Cricetulus griseus: one gene and its partner. Each later gene encodes a partner of the first gene's protein in a complex. Links are inferred from orthologs where the notes say so. Each region holds a gene or a part of one and is shown on either strand. Other genes may lie near its edges.

The links. The genes of interacting proteins can lie anywhere in the genome.
Region 2: the proteins of Cfap36 (region 1) and Arl3 are in contact, whole or in part, in a crystal structure (PDB 4ZI3), measured with the Mus musculus proteins. The link is inferred for Cricetulus griseus from reciprocal best matches to the Homo sapiens genes CFAP36 and ARL3. Residues at the interface, in NP_080016.1 of Mus musculus: Glu44, Glu45, Ser46, Lys47, Leu48, Thr51, Glu52, Lys58, Val61, Glu62, Leu65, Glu76, Phe79, Gln80, Cys83, Thr84, Ala88, Lys89, Leu97, Val100, Leu101, Ala103, Glu104, Asp105, Phe106, Thr107, Ile108; in NP_062692.1 of Mus musculus: Leu3, Leu4, Ile6, Leu7, Arg8, Lys9, Leu10, Lys11, Ser12, Arg19, Lys35, Glu40, Pro47, Thr48, Gln49, Gly50, Phe51, Asn52, Ile53, Lys54, Trp66, Ile74, Tyr77, Ser80, Tyr81.

What each region holds. Positions count from the first base shown.
Region 1 is NW_023276807.1:78,070,622-78,073,507, reverse strand, and holds the end of Cfap36 (cilia- and flagella-associated protein 36), read right to left. Parts: intron 1,661-2,886; coding exon 1,521-1,660; intron 1,360-1,520; coding exon 1,210-1,359; intron 762-1,209; coding exon 660-761; 3' UTR 594-659; downstream 1-593. UniProt on the Homo sapiens protein: May act as an effector for ARL3.
Region 2 is NC_048596.1:14,998,121-15,002,348, reverse strand, and holds the start of Arl3 (ADP-ribosylation factor-like protein 3), read right to left. Parts: upstream 2,940-4,228; 5' UTR 2,788-2,939; coding exon 2,785-2,787; intron 1-2,784. UniProt on the Homo sapiens protein: Small GTP-binding protein which cycles between an inactive GDP-bound and an active GTP-bound form, and the rate of cycling is regulated by guanine nucleotide exchange factors (GEF) and GTPase-activating proteins (GAP).

The sequences.
Region 1 (2,886 bases):
AAATCAAAGTTTCCAGTTCCCCACAAGGATTTTCTCATTAACCTTACCTCCTGCCACCTCTCACATGTTCCAGTTCAGCGTCAAAGCATGTTTCTAAACTACTATATACCCTCTTCTCTGAAATCACCTGACAGCTCACAGCTTACTTGCTCAAGGCAGCACAGCCAGCCTGCCGTCTTATCACTGCACTTTCCTCTTCTAACACTGTTCCTTGGGCCTTCTATAGCCCTATTAAAGCGGGACCCTGTCAGTCTAACAAACTGTGTCTAGTAAGAATGAAAGCATGCACTATCAACTAATTTCTTTCTGTGACCCCCTTTGAAGAGAAAGCACCCAATTCTTTGTTTTATTATTTCTTTATTTGAGTTATTTGAGACAGGTCTGTGTAACCTAAGCTGTTTTCCCCATTTGCTGTGTCACTGAGGATGACCTTGAACTCCTGACCCTCCTGTTCCAGGGTCCTGGTACTAGTACTATAGGCATGCACCACCATACCTGGTTCTATGCAGAAATTTCTGCCTTTCCTCTTGCTCTTTACCTGTTTAAAATAATAATAGTGAGCTTATAGTTGCATTTGCTTGAAACTAACAGTCTTTGTTTAAGGATTAAATAATTTATTTTTAAGAAAATGTGGGCTTCTGTTTTGCTATCTCTTCATATTACTTATTAATAACTTCTTCTTTAAGTTTCTCTGCAAGCAATCGCCTCTTTAGTAATGTTTGTTTCTCCTCTGCTGTCATTTCTGGCTTCTCTGTCATTTCCTTTAAAAAAAAAAAAAAAGAAATTGGCTACAATTAAAAATTAGCTTTGTATATCTAAAATTCTCAACATGCTCTCTCTAAAAGAACAAAAACTAAAGGCATTTTCAGTAAAATGTTTAAAAGTCAACAACCAAGTTTCTTAGATCTCTTCCTGGAGAAGCATTGGGAAGCATGGGTTATGAGCAGAACACTGCAAACATTTGAAATGGTAAGACAGACCACTGATTCTAAGGAGCTCAACCTAGAAAGTCAACAAAAATATAATGAAATAATTATTTCCACCTTAGAGAATTCTCATTTAAACTGTCCCGAGAGAAGACTTAGCAGCTGTTTCACTAGCAGATGATTAATTTGAGTGGATCAAGCAACAAAACTCATCGGAGACTTTCTTGCACAAACTAAAAACTTTTCCCCTGGTCTGCAATTAACACATTAAAGCTAGCCATACCTCCACCTCCCTGGAAGGCTTTCCTTTTTGCTCAGTATTCTGGATCTGTTTTGCCCTCATGTCCTTTCTCATGGACATCAGCTTGTCTCTCTTCTGCTTGAGATAGTGCTCTCGTTGCCGTAACTCTTCTGTTCCAAGTGCTGACAAATTCTGGTTCAGATAAGAAAAGGAAATATCTATATTCAGATCTATACAACACATGACAAAGACATGTACTGGATCAGTTTTAAGTTCCAAGACCCTAAAAAAGACAAAAGTGTATGACTGCATGGCTCACAGTGCTTGCTCACATTAAGTTAGCTCTTACTTACTGCTATTGGTCCTTCCATGCTTGAATGTTCTAAACCAGGGATCTTCAGACTTTTTTGTGGGAGGGAGGAAGTTTCAGGCAACAGCTCCATCTTTCTTGCCATGGGTTGTACTGACTGATTAGCAAAATGCACTTTAACTTCTGGCAGTAAACAGTGAGACCAATTAAAATATTATATTTTAAAGAACAACACTATTATGAAAAACATAGATATTTCACAAATAACATCTTTGGTTTCCAAACTTGCTTCTGAGTATGTGACTATACACTTGGGGAACAATTTTGAAACTGATTTTCTATCATACAACACTAGCTGTCAACAGCAATGACTTGTTTTCTATTACACTCTAAAAATAACTACCAATGCACTAAGAAAGTATAACCATTTCTAAAGCAAGGAGAAACTGCAAAGCACATATAAGCATTCAGTACTTTGTTAACTGTACCTTAAGGTATGATTAATATTCTAGCTTCTTCTGTAGTCTATACCCTACAAGCCTAGCAAGATGACTCAAAAGTTTCTCATGAGTTTGATCCCAGGACCCACATGGAGGAATGACAGAATCAACTCATGCAAGTTGTTCTCTCTCTCTCTTTAGTTTTTTGAGACAGGGTTTCTCTGCATAGCTTTGGAGGCTGTCCTGGGACTCACTCTGGAGAGCAGGATCACAGAGATCCGCCTGCCTCTGCCTCCCGAGTACTGGGATTAAAGGCGTGCGCCACCAACGCCCAGCATGCAAGTTGTTCTTGACCACACGCACACAGACCACAGTGGCACATATACATGTACATATATATGTATACACATACACACAATCAGATCTCTCGGTCTCTCATGTACACACACACACATAAGTAAATCATCATTCTTGATGGGTGGGGCTTAGGAGATGGTTCAGTGGGAAAAGAGCTGAGAGAGACAAGAACCCTATTCTGGGTCCCCTCACTCATCTAAAACGCTACGCCTGGCAGAGGACATCAACCCCAGAGACAGACAAATGGATCTCAGAGGCTTGCTGGCCAGCCAGCCTTGCCAGTCATTAAATTCTGGGTTCAGTTAAGAGACCCTATCTCAATAAAGTGGGGAGCAACAGAGGAAGTACATAAGCCACACATGCACACTAAAAAATAAAAGGTAAAAACATTTTTAACTTAAGTACATGGGCTATGAATGAAAACAGTAAGACATGGAAAGACATTAAAATGATAGAAGTAAAATTATGAGAAAAGACCATGGTACATATCCCAAAGGATTAATAATCCTGCCAGATATGTATAACCAGACAAACTTGACAAGGGTCACTTTTGTGGTACTGCCACGGATACTAGAAGAAATCCTTTGCAGACCTCCATAAAAAGACAAGTTA
Region 2 (4,228 bases), on another chromosome or scaffold:
TTCTGACTTATGAAGGTATCACAGAGTCATGTGGTACACATACACACATGTGGGCAAAATATTCACACATAGAAAATAAAACAGAAAATAAAGAAAGCACGTGCTCTTGTAGAGGGCTGGGGTTCAATTCTCAACAGCCACACGGTGGCTCACAGCTGACTGTAGCTCCAGGGGATCCATCACCCTCTTCTGACCTCCTTGAGAACCAGGCTTTCCCAGAGTGCACATACATGCTCTCAGGCAAAACACTAAGACATGTCAATTTTTTTTTTTTTTTAGATTTATTCTTGAGCATTGAATACTTTAGTGGTATCCAATAATATTATATGTACAAGGTCAATTTGTTATATACTTATGTACAGTGCCAATTTGCACCTAGAAACATGTGCAGTGGTTTACTTATTATGACCTATAATTATAAGTTAAGCAATTGTGAAATGAAACAGTCCACTCAATTGATAAACTGAAGAAAGATAGACAACTCTGATGTTTCTCATCTATAAGAAATCTCATTTTCTCTTGGTCTGGCATGTGGCTTTCTTTTAAGGGAATGGTATTTGGAACAGGGTCTCCCTGTAGCTGAGGCTGACCTGGAACTAACTGTAGCCCAGGATGGCCTCTTAACTCATGGTGATCCTCTTAATTTAGCATCTAGAGTCCTGGGATTATAAGCATGAGGCACCACACCCAGCCCGGTATGCCTTTCAAATCGCAGTTCTAATTATTTTCATTAGTTTTAAATTTATCTATTTCTTATGAGACAGAGTCTCATGTGGCCAAGGTTGGCTCTGCATTCCTGACCCGCCTCCTTCTACCTCCCAAGTGGGGAGGTTATAGGTGTGAGAAGCCATGGCCACTTTCTCAAATCCATTTATTTTCTGTGTAAATATTTATATCTGTACTCATTTATTAAGATAAACTTAGCCTGTAAATGGACAGCTCATGTACAAATAATAAAAAGAAAACACTTGTTAAAATCTGTTTAGCCTGAGGTTAGAAATAACTGTAAATGTAACAAGTGTGAGATGTGATTGACAACCTTAGATTAAATAATTCTACTTAACAATTTGACAATGTAAATTTATTTATTTTTTTGGTCAAAATTTGCTTGTTTAGTAATTTGACCATGAGTTTGAGGCCAGCCTGGTCTACAGAGCTAGTTCTAGGTCAGCCAAGGCCACACAAAGAAACCCTGTCTTGAAAAACAAACACACACACACACAAAACTGACCAAAAGTAGATGTGTAGTGTCGTTTTCCTCCTGGACACCTATTTTCTTCTTTTTTTTTGTGACCAGGTCTCATGTACCTACTCCTGCCTGCCTGGCTACTATGTAGCCCTGAAGCTCCTGCTTCCATCTCTGGAGTGCTGGGCAGGCACTACCATATTACGTTTTATGCAGAGCTTTGTGCCTGCTAAACTAACCTCTACCACCTGAACTATACCCTAGCCTTCTCTTCTTAAGACAACAGAAGTAGTTCAGTATTTTCACAAAAATAATGAGGGGTAGGGGGAAGCAAAAGAAACTGGTTCATAGCAGTCAGTAAGCCAACCAACCTGCTCTAAGTGCCTTAAGTTTTCTTTGACTAACTCTAAAAGTTTTCATTTCCCCTTAATTTTATTTTTTACTCTCTATCTACAGCATACCAATCAACAAGGAGAGCTGGATAGTCGCTCAGCAATACTGACACTCTTCCAGAGGAAGCGTTCACTTCCCAGCATCCACATGCTGGCTCACAGCCATCTCTAACTCCGATTCCAGGAGACCAAAGCCCTCTTCCTGGCACACACGTGGTGCAAAAAATTTATGCGGGCTAAACACCCATACACATTAAATAAAATAACAATTAAAAAAATCAACAAGGAACGGAGTGTCCCCGGTTAAATCCGTCACATACCGTAACTTGCAATTTGGAAAAGCCTTATAATTATGGCTAACGGAGAGAAGGCTTGCTTCAAACTGACGCCCACTCTTAACAGTTTCTCATTCTTTTTAGTTTGAGGTGCCTTACTGGAAGGAAGACCTTTTGTGCGGCCACATGCAAAAGGACGCTGCAACAAGTTTGAAGGAAATGCTAAGACACGGGAGGCTAATTTGCTTCTATTAACATGAAATAGATACGGAAAGAAAAATCGCTCATCAACAACCATTAGACCCTGCAGAACTTTCAGCAGGAGCGCACCCACCACGGAGACGTGAATCAGGCATCCATTCCCAGCCGCATCTCTTTTTGTCCTGGGACTTGGTCCCAGCACACCTCACTCAGAGACGGCGAGCATCTAGGAAAACTAGGTTACATCTCCCTGGTGCCGCCAGGGTGATCTCAAAGACAGTAGCATCGCGCCTCTGCCACTTCTGTCCGGGTTTCAGACGGATCCTACGGTCCCGAGGCGCCGAGAAGTCGACTCTGCAGCAAGAGCTAAGCCTGTGTGTCTGGCCTGATCTCCTCACCTCCCCGGAGCCGCCTTCATCCCATCCCAGTGCCCGGAGTGAAGATGGAGCCCAGGCTCCTTCCCCGCCAGCCAAGCATTCTGCAAGTCCCTTCCCCAAGCCTCGGACCCATCGCAAATCCCTCCTTCCTCCCAGGCCTAGGCCTCTCTCCAGGGCCCATCTCTGGGGTACCCCTTCGCCCCCGAAACCGATCTAGAACCCTAGTGAGCAAGGCGAGCGCCATCCTACGTCCCCTAAGCGCAGCGCCCTGCCTTGGGCCTGGGGACAGGAGGCGAGGGTGTGGTGGGGGGTGACTGGCCAGCTCCAGAGGGATCGGGGGCCCCCACACTCACCATCCTCAAGCCGAGTCCCTCCTCCTCCTCCGCCTCCTCCTCCTTCTGCCTCCCCCGTTACCAGGGGTAACTGCTGCGGCGCCGCCCCTGACGTCCCTGGCACGCACAGCGGAGAAGCAGAGCAGCGGGATGGGGCGGGGTTCTACTCCTCTTTACCCAAAGTGCGCAAGCGCGCCAAGGCGCTCGCCCACTGCGCAGGCGGTCTTGGGAGCGGCGGAAGGCCAGGGCGGGCTGGCATGCGACCCAGCGGGAGGGACGAGACCGCCCACGTGGCCGGCGGGAGCCTGTGGCCTGTGATTGGTCAGGAAAGGGGGCGTAGTGTGAGGGGGAGGTCCCCGGCCTAGCCGAGGTACTCCAGTTCAACCTTCCGAGTCCGCTAACCTGGTGGCTGTCTCAGGGTGCATCCCTCTGGGACCAGGTAAGGGAACTCAAGTGCAGGTATTTCCAGTCTCCGCGTCGCAGAAGGGAGCCTGCCTCTGCTCTGGTGGGGCTGCCAGGCACTGCGAGCTGGATTTCTGCAGGAGCCGCATGGCGGGTGGGACGCACCACGGCTCCAATGGGCTCCTCGCCTCTGACCCCCGTTGTCTTCGGGTGCCAGGCTTTGGGGTACCGGAGCTATGGGCAGCGCCACGGTCTCCACGGTTTCGTTAGAATGCAGGATAGGTGGTTTCTGCTGGGTTCGGGGAGATCGCTTGAGAGAGGGCGATAGGGAGATTGGGGACCGGTCCGCTAGCATCGAGGTCTGCTGACAGCGGGAGTGTTAGATCGTCCGGATCCGCCGAGTTTTGCTAAGCCACGTAGGACTGCAAGCGCGACTTCCCATGCACAGGACCTCTGGAAAGTTCCCTTTGCCTCTGTGCCAGGTCAGGTTCTCGACACTGGTACAATCTGTCTTCGTAGAAATTGTATTCTTCCTAGTGGAATCTTTATATACAGAATTTATTTCCGTTCAACTCTAGAAGTCAGTTATTGTAGGTGATAAGAGTTGGGACACGAACTAACTTGCAAACAGTTTTACAGTGTTGCTTGTAAACACTGTGGCCCAGGGAGAGGAGTGCTGTCTACCTTCGGGCTTGAGCAGGATAGACAAGCGCTCTACCACTGAGCTACACTGCGTTCCTCGCCGCAGAGTAGTTTATACCAGTAACAGAGAACTTTTCTAACAGCTGATGGTCTAGATAGAGATGGTACCTCCAGAAGTCGCTGATGTATACCTGTCAAGTCCATAGAACACCGCCTGCCCCAAAGGAAGTGCTACATATTATTAACAGTTTAATCTGGGTTTCAGGCTTCACCCTCTTCCTACCAACCTGGTTAATATTGAAACAAAGATAGATTTTTCTTGAATGGGTTTTCAGGGCTTTTTTGTTATTTTGTTGTTGTTGTTTTGAGACAGCGTCTTACTATGTAACTCTAGCTGGCCTGGATCTCACTGTAGACCACA